3 linked regions of the Drosophila melanogaster genome follow. The protein of the gene in region 2 binds, or shares a complex with, the protein of the main gene of each other region. Each region holds a gene or a part of one and is shown on either strand. Other genes may lie near its edges.

Region 1 (3,072 bases), on a different chromosome or scaffold from region 2:
CAGATTGGGCAGATCCACGACCTGCTTGGAATCAGCTCCCAGCTTGATTTGAGCCTCTAGTTTTGTGCACAACTCTTTTCCACAGGCCGCAAATACATTTGCTATGGCATTCGTGAGACGGGAATCGATCAAAGCAGCACTGAGCTCCGTTGATGCCACACGAATAAAGTTGTCCACCGTTTCGTTGCCGGGCAAATCGACTCCCGCCAGACATGCCTTAAAGTTGGCAGCACACTTGCTAACGTAACCCACTTCCAGGGGAGCAAATAGTTCGTTGTCAAACTGAAACTCGCCATGCAGACGCTGCTCCAAGCCACGAGCGGAGGTCAGGAGCTTTGAGAGCCCCTCCTGAAGGGTCTGCGTAACATGCTGGGGGCATTCGTCAAAGGATTTTCGCAGGAGCTGCTGCACCTGCTGCCAAAAACGCTGCGGAATGCACTGATCCGATGATTCTGATGTATAGCCAAACTGGTTGATCTGCTCGAGAGCCGTTTTCAGCAGCTTGATTTGCGTGCAAGTCTCAAAAAGTTCATCATAGAGCAGCCAATGAAGAGACTTCCAGAACTTGGCACGGAAGTTTTGAGTGGTTGTCAACTGGGGAGTTTTTCCTGGTCCCCTCGAGGGAGCAGGTTTGCTCACATTGTGCGTCGGGGACTTGTTCAGCACAGATATATCGTTGCCAGCAAAGCACTCTTTCAGAGATTGCTCCATGTCGGCAATAAAGGTGGCCAATAGGTTATCCAGCGATTTTTCCAGCGTATTGAAATTCATAAAGATCTAAGGAATAAGAACTCTTAGGTATATGCTAGAAAAATGTTTGTTATATCCACCTTCAAGGCATTAACCACTTGGTTTTCATTGCGCTCCTGGAGCCCAGTGACCAACTGCATCTGCGTGAGGTTCCTTATCTTCTGAGCAGAGCTGATCACATAAGCTCGCTCCTGCTGGATAAAATCAATGTCCTTTAGCTCCTTATCTTCGATGAGTTGGCCCAACTCAAAGTGGATTTCGGCCAGGCGTAGGACATCCTTGGTCGCTTTTAGTTTGGCCGTGAGGCTCAGCAATGTTCCAGCCGAGCGGAGTAGGTGACTGACATCGTGCAGACGCCCTAGCACTTGCGTTTGGTTCTCCACCTGCTGGTACTGCGTGTCCACCTGGTTCTTCAGCCGGTGCCCAGTTTCCCTGACCCGCTGCACATCCTCGGCGAGCGCGTTTAAAGCCGCATCGAAGCGCCCAGCGTGGGTGGCCTGCTGCAGTAGAGCTCCGTGCTTGTCGCGCACCTGCTGGTGCAGCTCCTCCTTCGTGTTCTGCAGTTGCTTGGACAGCTCCTGGATTTGCTGGCCAATGGTCAGGTGCGACATGGATGCGGTAAAGTCATTATCATCCGAATCCGCTGCGTTTGGGGTCTTTGTCGCTACCGGGTCTCCAGTCACCATGATGCAGAAGGTTTTAATCTATGGTAATACGAATTATAAGCTGGTATTACACTTTTATTTCCATTACTTGCAGCAATTTTACGTATTGCAAACAAACTGTTTTTCCACGCAACCAAAAACAGGCTGTAATCGATAAATTTCCAGTTGAGCGGGGATTGAATTTTTTGAAGGGGTTTCTAAAAAACTATATAAAGTATTGCGTGATAGCTTAATAATATAATATTTAAATAATAATGTTAAAAACTAGCCGCATCCTTTTTCCGCTTGCTGAAAATATTTTACTTCGACCGCCGACTACGCCCCTGCCACATGAACTTATCGATAACTTGAGGCAGCTGTTGCTCACTTTGTTTTGTGTAAATAATTGGATGCGGAGAAAAACGTATTATTATTGCCATACCTTCTCTAGTCTTTCGCTTTAACAAATTTTCCATGTCGGACGACATCAAGAAGTATTTAGACGGCCTGCTGCAAAAGTAAATATTCCACAGGAAAGGCTGTTCCCAATATGATTAACTTATAATTTTTCCCCCATTCCCCGATTTACACAAAAGGGTCAGCGGGCTGTACGTTATTCAGATTACGGATCGCGACGGAGTGCCCCTCCTGCGGGTTAGCCAGGAGAAGAACGTGGACTTCGCCCTGATGCCCTCGTTCATACCCACATTCACCACCGCCTGCGATCAGGCCAGCAAACTGGGATTGGGCAGAAACAAGACCATCATCTCCATGTACTCCAATTACCAGGTGGTCCAGATGAACAAGCTGCCGCTCATCCTGACCTTTGTGGGCGCGGAGAACTGTAACACGGGACACATTCTCGCACTGGAGCACCAGGTCGATGGCTATTTGGAGGACATTAAACAGGCTGTCACCGAGGCCTAAAGTTAGTCTACCTTGTAATATGCATATTTTTAATATTTACTAAATGTTTATACATACATACTTTATTGAGAACAGAATGAGTTTTTAAAAATCTCAACTCACCATTGTACTATTCCGGGAATTTATTTCATATCCTGCGAAGGGTGATCTCAAAGATGAACAAAGTTCCGAGTCCTCCGTTTTGGCAACAATATCAAATATGCAAACTATTGACACTTTATTTAAAATGAAAAATTCTTGCTGCCTAAAATGTGTACATTCAATTAAATTTCTTCATATAGTTTCTCAATTATAATATACTTTTCCCTATACCTTGAAATCGTCTGTGCTCAAGTATCACGAAAGTAAAATATTTGTATGTTTGAGCTCAAGGAAACCGACTTTAAATCAACATTTTCATTCAGTGATGTTATCTGTTTTAAAAATACTAGGTGTTTACACTTTATTCAGAATGAAACTTGATGTACTTTTTGCTTAAATGCATATACTGAGTTAATTAGCTACAATTCTTGATGGTTTTCCTGCTGCAGTTTGGGAATGATCTCGACAAAATTGATATTCTCCTTTAAAACTAAAATACAATCCCCAAATCTCTGGTCTACGCATGCCAAGCATTCACATTTCTCTGCGGCTCATCCTCATCGTCGATTGTTGAACATTTCAGAGTTCGTCGTGCAGATTCTCCGATTCGGACTGGAAAGCTTCGCTGTCGCAGGCGGCGGGAGTTTCGAATTCAAAGTAGTATTCACAG
Region 2 (6,793 bases):
CCATACTCGAAACTCTTTCAGTTGCAGAACTTTATGTTATCATTCTTTTAAAGTTTTGTTTCACATTGAGCGCGCGCTGTGATCGAACATGAAGATAATATATATCGAATATATAGTTGTACACATGTGTATTTTTATACTTGTGTTTCCTATGCGGACATGTTTAGCATGTAAATAAGAGTGTAATTAAGTTTAGCTAGCACAACAACAGCCAGATACAAGCCATGCGTATGTATTCTAAACTTCAGCTTACAGATCAGCCAGCGCACCGCGAAAACGGAGCATCGGAAAAATTCGCTATAAATCTATAAATCTTTTACCTGGTCCTCAAATCTTACTTGCTATATCGAAACACGGCCCTGATATAATGTTTCACCCTCATTAAATCCAACACACATCCCACTTTGCACCCAAACAAAACAAAACAAAACAAACAAACCCATAATGAAAGGCTACACCAAACAATGTCATATAGAGGGGGGACATCCCCGATGTATTTTTGTCAAAGTGTACATAATACTTAGCGGTAGTAATATTTAATTAACAATAAGACTCCATCAATATTGCGATATCATGTACCATGCAGTACGTAGGCTACTGCTCGCCCCCGTGGCGAACGTTGGTTTGCTCGGTTTACATTACCCAAGACTAAATTTGGTTGAATCTAAGTTAATAAATAAATTTCTAATGCAACACAATCGACTTTTCATTCGTACCATTCGACTCCTGGCGCAGATCATCCACGGCGTACTTGCCAATGACCCAGTTTCTTGAATTTGCAGCCAAACAAACCCTGTCCCTGCTCCGAAATTTCTCGAGAAGATGGGGGGCAGGCAGGCAGCCAGGCGGTGGTGCTGAGTCATGCGCAATTTGCAATCCCAAAATGCACCCTGCTAACCAGGATTTTCGGCTAACTGCGTAGCACCAGCGTTCAAAAGTACAGGTATTCGGACGCTGAGGCGTTTCGAATTTGGTGGTGGTTGAAAGTAACTACTGCTTGTGGCTCTGGCCCCGTGGAGTGCTGATGCATCGCATGAAGGTAGTGGATGAACGGAGGAGAGAGGGAGAGTGCAGCTCTGCTGCGTAATAGATCCGTGACCTGGTTTGCCAATGACGTCACCAAATACGCCTTTAAATTCTCGTTATGCGGAAGTTATGTATGGAACGCAGATAGCTTGGCTGCCATTTTAGCAATTGAATGGGCGAGATAAGTGCCTCTGAAGAAAGTAACTGATAGAACGAAGCATAACTATTTGGGGATTATGGTCTGAGTCAGCATTTGTAAGTAGGGGATAGAAATATTAAAAACAAAAAATATAAAAACATTTTTTAGGTGCTTGGAATAAATTAAAAGCTTGAGTTTATTTGGTGTGTTCAAGTTAACTATGCAGTTATTGTTTGGAAAATTTGAAAAGTTATAAAATCCTCTATAAATTCAAATATTGCGTTTTCATTACGTTAATATCTAATTTGTAAATGGTATATTCTCTTAAAAAACGTATCTCTTTGTTTCTATATTATTATCAAGTTACGAAACCAAAGAAAAAAAATGAATGTTTCCTATTTCCCAACCGAAAACATATAATAATAAATATTGATTACAAAAACGAATCATCTTAATTTGAAAAATTCATTTGTTTATATACTTTAAATCGTCATATAGATGGCGCTACATTTGCCATTGTCACTCACAGCGCAACGCGCACACCTTATCAGCTGAATTTGTTGCCATTCAGAATGCAGTGTTTGTGAAGGCGTAGTTCTGTTGTTTTTTATATTTTCCCTCTTTAAAAATACACAAAATGTTGAAACCCAAAGCTTTGACGCAGGTTCTCAGCCAGGCGAACACCGGCGGAGTGGAGAACACCCTGTAGGATAGTCCCTTACCATGCCATTCCTTCAAATATCACTTATCCCTGCATCCACAGCCTGCTCAGCCAGGAGGGAGCTCTATTGGCCTACTCCGGTTATGGCGATAAGGATGCCAGGATAACGGCGGCCATAGCCAGCAACATATGGGCGGCCTACGAGAAGCATGGACGCAACGCCTTTCGCGAAGGTCGCCTCACTTTCGTGCTCATCGATTGTGAAAACGGTCATGTGGCCATCACACAGGTGGGTGATCCTCTTTTTTTTAGCAGGGATTCGTTCTATAAAATCTTAACTATATTCCTTTTTACAGGTTGCCAGTGTCCTTTTGTGCCTGTACGCCAAGCAAACGGTGGGATTGGGTCTTCTGAAGCAAAAGGCCATGTCACTGGCCTCCTATTTGGAGCGACCGCTTAAGCAGATCTCGGCCTCATAAGGATAAAACAATGATGTACCAAGTTCCGAAATGAATAAGTTAATAAGTGTATGCATCAAAAGTGAATCAAATGAATATGAATAGTCTGCGGAAAAGTTTAAACGATAATATATTAGTACTTGAAATTATGAATCTTTAAGGATTTTGTTAGTATTTAAGGAAAAACTTGTCTGCTGGTTTCCAAAAGTAACCCAAAGATATTTCGTATTCTGAATTATTTGGATAGAGGGTCAGGTTTATTATTCTGCAAGATTTGTTCAAGAAAACACACAATCATTAGGGAATATTGTATAAGAAAATTTTGGACTTAATTACTAAGTGTGGACTTATTCGATGGCGTAGAGCTTCAGGGTGCGGTCCATGCTGGTGGATGCCAGATACTGGGCGTGCTTGCCGAATCTCACGCCCGTTGCCAGGGCCGTGTGGTCGTTGAATACCTTCAGTTCCTGCCACTGCTTGCACAGGTAAACCCTGTAAATAAAACGAAGCAACCGTCAGAATTTGTATTTGTACCGTGGCAACCAAATAAACAAGTTAACTAAGGGAATCTTCTTTGGCGAATTTAACTTAACAATGCGAAAGTTTAAAAGAAAAGTTTACCGCGAATATGAAAGTAAGTATTATATTCTAATATGCGAAGACTTAAAAATGCATGCTGCTCTTCAAGATTTCGTGCGACCCAAGACCCATGTGGAACCGGAGCCTCCAAAGCCCATAAACTTATCGATTGAGGACTTCAATGCGGTGCGAAATAATTAATTTTTATATTTCCAAAGTTAAGTTTTATTAATATTCCTCAGCGCGGAGAGATCGCCAATCCCCGTGCTCCTTGTGTGGTCACCACCATCGATCCCGATTATATTAAGGACGCCAGTGCGCAACGTTTGGCCAGAAAATTTCGCATGAAAACGTAAGGAATCAAATGAATTATGTGCTGGTGCAATTTCACAGCTTTTTCAGGGACATCCTACTCTTGAGGGAGATTACCCGCAATCGCTTTATGTACTATGCTACGCAAGAACTTTTTTTGGACCGAAAACGCGAGAAGGAATACCAAGACAATGTATACGAAAAGGCCGAGGAGTTTCACAAGTTTGCAGAGGAGTCGCTCAAGAAAATGGAAGCGGAGGAGTTTAAGAAAATGTTAGAGGCCCAAGAAAAGCTGAAGACACTGAAGGAAAGCAAACTGAGCGAAGAGCTGAACGAGGTGAAGCTGGAGCATCAGCGAGTGCTGATGGAAGTGCAGGAGGTCTACGGTCGCTTTCAGTATTTACTCAAACTGATCAGCTACTTTGATGACACAGTTGAGGAGGAGCAAACCGAGGGAGACGATGCCAGCAATAGGCTTAGCATGCCGCAGGAAATCGTAGCCATGGAGATCACCGAACGACATCCAGCGGGTCTCGAGCAAGTGCGTCAAGTCCAAGACTACATGGAGAAGATAGTGCGTCCGTATTTGGCAAAGCGGAATCATCTCAATGCAGAGATTTGGATACGTGGCTATGAGAGAAATCGCTTAAAGGTGTCCAACTACAACAGGCGCTTTTCTCAGTTGGCAATCTTGAACCACATCGTAGCCATCCTCCATGACAAGGCCCAGAAGACGTACGAGCGTCAGGTGAAAGCCAATGTGTTCCTCAAGGATCCCGAGTTCCTGCAGCGACGGGTGGCAGGTCTTCAGGAGCGTGCCAAGGGTCTATTAAATGACTTCGAGCAGAGATACTGCAAGGAGTGAGTTGGGATGCGTACATATTTGAATCAACTATTTTATATTCTTAATTTCCAGCAAGCTGAATATCAAGCTAAATGCTATTGTACCAATTATTCTCAAGCAAATCCAAAACAAAGTTAAGCCGGAGCAAAAGCGAGAGGTTACGCAGCCGCCATCCAAGCCAGCAGCCCAGAAGTCGTCCAAGCAATGGCGAACACTGGAAGACATGCAGCCTCCACCACCGCCACCCAAGTCTACATACGCGGACGAACAGGACACGACTCTTGCCAAGGTGGAGAAAATCCAGGGCTACGTTTTGGAGCTCTTGGCTAAACTGGACCACATCGAACCGAGCAAGCTGCGAAGTGTCGAGCAGCAGGTTCGACGTCGCATGGCAGCGGAGAAGGAAATGTCTCGCCGTGCGTTAGTCAAGCAGAACCGGCTACACAACTGGATGGCGCATTTCAAGAAGCATCATGATCAGCAGGTTGAGCAACGATGGAAAAATAAAGTCTAAGCTAGACAACAACACCATACTTAAAACATTAAATGAATACAATTTAAAACTTATTTTAACCTCATTCTGAATGATTTCAATAAGAAAAGTACAATTCACTTACCTGACATCGCTGCCGGCGATAGCCAGATAGGTTCCGCTTTGGTCGAAGCACAGATCCTTGACCTCGTAGCCGTCATCAAGCTGGATTGTCTTAAAGTTCTTCAGCTTTCGCAGATCCCACAGCTTAACGCAGGCATCATCTGCAGCGGTGGCCAGGTAGTAACCGTTCTCCGAGAAGGAGATGGCCGAAATGGGACCGGTATGACCAGGGAAGTTGGCCACATTGCTCTGCTCCTTCAAATCCCAGATCTTAACCTGCGAGTCCACGGTGCCCGTACCGAAGATCAGACCATCAGGATGGAATTGCGCTGTCGTCAGCCCGACTTCGGCGGTATCGATTACCTTGGTGAGCAGGCGTCCTGTGCGGATATCGGAGAATGCCCAGTGTTTGTCGGATGATGTGGACAGCAAGTAGTCGCCAGTGGGGTGCAGCGAAAGGCCAGTAACAGGTCCTTCGTGGCAGCGCAGGAGAAGCTGCGTCTGCGAAGTGGGCACGTGCCAGATGCGTATGTTCATGTCGGGCGAGCCGGTTATGACTGTATCCTCGTTAGGATGATATATGACTTTGGTGATCTTCTTGGTGTGTCCCTTCAGGATGGCCACCATCTGCTCTGTGTCCTTGTTGAACACGGTGGCGTTTTTATCGTTGCCTCCGGTCAGAATCTTACTGTGATCAGCACTGTTGATGTCCAAGGCCAGAATGCCGGGAACGGAGGCCGAGTGTAGGCCGGGATGGGATGCCACAGTAAGGAAGTTCTTAACCTGATCCGTTGTAACCAGATCCTCGGGCACAGTGCGTCCGCGCTTCTTACGCTCCTGCGTCAGCACCGTGGCCTTGTCCTGCAGTTTCTGTATGACCTCGGCGCTCATGCCCGCCTGCTCCATGGGATGGGCAGCAGCTCCGCCAGCCTCAGAGGCCAGGGCCGGTTGTGGTATTGCCGTGGGTGCGTTGGCAATGCCCGCCTGCGGTTTCAACGTGGCCAGAGCTTCGCGAGCGGCGGCCACCTCCTTATTGAGGCGGGCAATCACACGACAGGCGGCATCGTGCTGATACAGCGCATGGGACAACTCCTGGCGCGTCGTTTGCAGCTGCTGGCGTTGTGTGAACGAGTGAATCATGAGGGCGTCCCACTCGTCCTGCATCGTTTTCAAAGTGGCCGGAATGCTGGTGGCACTTGGCGGTTTCGGTTTCACCACAGCCGGCGTCTTGATCTCGATCAGCTCCTCCGGCTTCAGCTCCTTGCCGCTAATGGGATCGCAGCCATTCTCTAACAGATACTTCTCAATCACCCGCTTTTCGAAAACGGCTCCCGAGTGCGGGGAAACCACGGGCGTCTCGGGGACTTCGTTTGTCACTTGGAATGGAAAGTGCGATTCATAATGGCCCAATTCAAATCAAAATCTAAATTATTCACTTACGTGCGCAAACCAAAGCCATTGCTGTTTGTGATTATGTCGCTTTTCGCGTAGTCTTGTTGGTAAATTAAATGTTTTACACGTTTTTCCCGAGCCAAGCGCAAAATTGTCGGCAAAGCCGCTTCTTCTTATTATGCCAGTTACTCGGCGACGCGGGAGTTTCGAGCACAGGGCTGCCAGATCAAATGGATTTTGGCTAGAAATTTGCACAGAAAAAACTAGCTAGAATTTAAACAATTTATTTTATTGATAACACAACACATTCAATAAGTATTTAATCCATAACAATAGTTTTTATAGATAAATGACATTTACTGATAGAGAAGTGAGTAACATATCTTAAATCAATCAGCTATCTCACCGTTTTGCCAATCACAGTTCCGCACGCACAATCCATAATTGCTGGCAACCCTAGCACGTTGTTTCTGTTATTCAATTCACGATCTAGTTTTATAACATAGTTTACTGCCATTAAGGTATATTTTTAAAATGCTGAAGCATTTTGCACGATGGCGTCTGGGCAGCCAGTTGCTAAAGGGATGTGCCGCACCAGTGAGGCAAGCCTCCAAAACCTCCAGCGCAGAGAACCTGATAGCCGGCACAGAGGAACCCCAAAAAAAGTTCGTCAATCCGTTTTCCCAGCCCGCTCCTGCGTTAAGTAATGATACGATATCAGAGAACAAGGAGGAACGGGATAAGCGACTCAAGGTGCTGCAGCTGGAGGCGGACATTGCCCACCAGG
Region 3 (2,792 bases), on a different chromosome or scaffold from region 2:
GTGACCATTGTGGTTAAGAGTCCTTTAAAGAGAGTCCTGTTCACATCAAAAAAGCCACCGCAGTTGATGGTCGATGGATTCATTTCGGTGGCTCGCAAAAACATATTTATCTCCGTCTGGGCATCCGAGTTCATCCAGTTAAGCTCCACCATGAGTAGTTTCTTCTGGAAATTGGTTCGCACATTAACCGAGGCATAATGTGCCTCATCGCAAATATAGAAGAGCAGTCCTATGTTCCACAAAGCCGTGATAGTCAGTCCTATGTCCTTGATGCCAAATCCCTCGGAGAGTTGCGACATTAGTCCATAAATCGAAAGGGTAATGATGAAGAACAAGTAGAGGCTCATGAAAACAAAGGTGTAGCACAGGGCATTTCCAGTATCACGGGTCAACTTGCTCAGTCGTAGCCACAGAACACGGTAGTCTGCCACCATGGCAGCGGGTCCAATGTGTTTCAGTGCCTTCTGGAACCGCTCCGCCAGAAGATGAGCCGTAATGCTCATGGCCTCGCAGATGAGGAACCACCAGGCACCCAGCATTGCAGTCAAGTTGTCCAGGATGCAGTAGGGCACCACCTGGTTAATGTTCAAATCCGACATGGTGACGTGCGTGATGACCACCGATAAAACCGAGAGAATTGGCAGCACGATGGCTATGTACACCGCCTTCTGTCGCAATTTCAGAGGCAAACTGTGCCCGGATATCTGGTAGTACAACACCTCAAAGTCATCCCAATCATTGAAGAGCTTTGCTATCTTCCTGGCCTCGTACCACAATATTGGTATAATCATAATGGGCAGGATGTTGACCAGAAAGAGGTATGCAATAACCGCCTCCTCGAAGGGTCCACTCAGGGAGCGCACAATGTGGATGCGGTTGTTGGCCACATAGCCTACATAGCACTGTAAAGCGGTTTTGGGTTACATAATGGTATCCATAGTCAATTTTGAAAAATGTTATGCAAACACCACACTCACCGCCAGGAGCACAAAGAAAACCACCGAGTAAATAAAGGAGGCGGAGTTCATTTCGAACTTGGCACGAGCAGGACCATGTCGCACGATGGGTAATACTCCAATAATCCTCAAGAACCAATTGATGGGATCTATGTTTCGGTAGAAAACACTCTGAAAGCAGCGAAATTCAGTTTTACAAAAATGGTTTTAACAGCGTAGCAATCCACAAACCGGCTTAAATTCCGGATTATTGGACGCCGTGCTGTCCGAGCTCTTTTTCCTATCCAACGGAGGAGCTTCGTAATCCGCATCCAATCGCTCCGCCAATCCAATGGAGTACTTGCGGACCCCGTACAAGTATGCCTGGGCATTAGCACTGTTCAGCGGTTTTGCATTGAGGAACACCGCGTCACCCTTCTTGCGTCGATAGTAGTTGGCCATTCCGGAGAGACTGTGTCCGGAATTTCCTTGTCCGTGGCCTTTTACCACTTTTTCGCCAGACGGACGCATTAGCCATGCACCTGCACACGCCCCCTTATCGACCACGCCCTCTGTTGACTTAGAGCCGGAGTTTTAGTTTCCTGTTGATGTGCGTTGTTTGTCTTTTGAATGAATTAACCTTAGCCCGGTGTCCCAATTTCGAATTTGTGTCAATGGCGCGCATGTGGCAATTTACAACACTGAAACCGGGCTGCCAGGCTACCGATTTGGTATCTAAATGGATCTAGTCCGGTCACACTGGTGGGTGTGGGTGCGAAAGATAAATAAATAAATATGTTGAAAATGGACAGGGAAAAGTTGATTGTGCCCAATCAAATTGGCTATCTGATACTAAAGGAAGATGGAGCAGTTCTGGAGTCCGGCGGAGATCTGAAGAACGATGAGCGCAGTGCAAATGTGATAATGGGATTACTAAATCTCACAGAGACGTGCGTTTTTAAACAAAGGATGAAGGAATTTTGTAATAATTACGCCTATATTGTAGCATCGACGAGTCCTTCATGCCGAGCAGCAGCTGCGAGAGGATCACCATCGATTACGAGCATCACTACTACAGCATCTGCATGTCCAACCGTAGAATATACATCATTAAGATCAGCAAATCGCAGAATGGCGTCACCACGACCACGAGCTCCTCCTCGTCGAACAGCGTGTATAACGATGCCAGCGATTCCGGGGCAGTGCTGGCTTGAAATCCGTCGTCGGATGTCCGACCCACTTGCAGATTCTGTTGGCAAGCAACCGGACAAAGACCCCACAATTGGCGCACTCCCATTATTTACCTAATCCTCCTCTTTATTTGTCAAAAAATACATCATCTGTGAGCTCTTGCTCGAAAATGCGCCTCGCTTCCTGGGTGACGTCCAGCAAGGTGGCCTTGCTATTGCACAGGATCACATAGTACTGCCTGTAGTTACAGCGCCGCTTCACAATCCAATAGTCATTGGTGGTCTTGACCTGAACTTCCTCGGCAGGAGCACTCTCCATTTCCGCCTTGCCACTGCCATTGGCCAAGTCCGCAATGATACTAAGCACATTGCGGGGCAGCCCTTGGGGCAGGTGCCTCTGAAAGTTCGTGTGGTGCTGCAGGCTTTGTTCGTTAATGAACAAGTACTTCGGCGCCGTTTCGCTGTTCCCGCTGGAGTTGTCCTGGCCTGCAGCACCCACCGCCTCCTTTGTCAACTCGCTGGATATGTCCCGGGCCAACGAAGTCAGTTGGGGAGCCATGTAGGCATGGAGATCGTCGTAGAGATCTTGTTTCGGCGCAACCTGGTCAGCTGACAAATGTGGAATGTTTCAAGTTGATTATTTTGGCTATTTAGTTCTAATCCTTAA

What was found. The genes of interacting proteins can lie anywhere in the genome.
Region 1: Lamtor2 (region 2) and Lamtor3 share a complex: the UniProt entries of both Drosophila melanogaster proteins name them as parts of the ragulator complex.
Region 3: Lamtor2 (region 2) and Lamtor4 share a complex: the UniProt entries of both Drosophila melanogaster proteins name them as parts of the ragulator complex.

The regions. Positions count from the first base shown.
Region 1 is NT_033779.5:17,479,466-17,482,537, forward strand, and holds Lamtor3 (late endosomal/lysosomal adaptor, MAPK and MTOR activator 3), read left to right. Parts: upstream 1-1,765; 5' UTR 1,766-1,868; coding exon 1,869-1,912; intron 1,913-1,990; coding exon 1,991-2,321; 3' UTR 2,322-2,572; downstream 2,573-3,072. Other genes in the region: fws (four way stop), read right to left, coding at 1-777, 831-1,436; GCS2beta (glucosidase 2 beta subunit), read right to left, coding at 2,982-3,072. UniProt on the Drosophila melanogaster protein: Regulator of the TOR pathway, a signaling cascade that promotes cell growth in response to growth factors, energy levels, and amino acids. As part of the Ragulator complex, may activate the TOR signaling cascade in response to amino acids.
Region 2 is NT_033778.4:18,444,836-18,451,628, forward strand, and holds Lamtor2 (late endosomal/lysosomal adaptor, MAPK and MTOR activator 2), read left to right. Parts: upstream 1-1,712; 5' UTR 1,713-1,802; coding exon 1,803-1,870; intron 1,871-1,928; coding exon 1,929-2,115; intron 2,116-2,182; coding exon 2,183-2,305; 3' UTR 2,306-2,631; coding exon of another isoform or gene 2,632-2,776; 3' UTR 2,777-2,878; coding exon of another isoform or gene 2,879-2,918; intron 2,919-2,972; coding exon of another isoform or gene 2,973-3,049; intron 3,050-3,105; coding exon of another isoform or gene 3,106-3,215; intron 3,216-3,265; coding exon of another isoform or gene 3,266-4,036; intron 4,037-4,091; coding exon of another isoform or gene 4,092-4,533; 3' UTR 4,534-4,585; downstream 4,586-6,793. Other genes in the region: Prp19 (Pre-RNA processing factor 19), read right to left, coding at 2,632-2,776, 4,637-5,990, 6,055-6,073; CG30120 (uncharacterized protein), read left to right, coding at 2,879-2,918, 2,973-3,049, 3,106-3,215, 3,266-4,036, 4,092-4,533; rswl (roswell), read left to right, coding at 6,541-6,793. UniProt on the Drosophila melanogaster protein: Regulator of the TOR pathway, a signaling cascade that promotes cell growth in response to growth factors, energy levels, and amino acids. As part of the Ragulator complex, may activate the TOR signaling cascade in response to amino acids.
Region 3 is NT_037436.4:3,895,207-3,897,998, forward strand, and holds Lamtor4 (late endosomal/lysosomal adaptor, MAPK and MTOR activator 4), read left to right. Parts: upstream 1-1,693; 5' UTR 1,694-1,730; coding exon 1,731-1,885; intron 1,886-1,941; coding exon 1,942-2,149; downstream 2,150-2,792. Other genes in the region: Gr63a (gustatory receptor 63a), read right to left, coding at 1-902, 978-1,127, 1,188-1,397; Ccz1 (Caffeine, calcium, zinc sensitivity 1), read right to left, coding at 2,253-2,734. UniProt on the Drosophila melanogaster protein: Regulator of the TOR pathway, a signaling cascade that promotes cell growth in response to growth factors, energy levels, and amino acids. As part of the Ragulator complex, may activate the TOR signaling cascade in response to amino acids.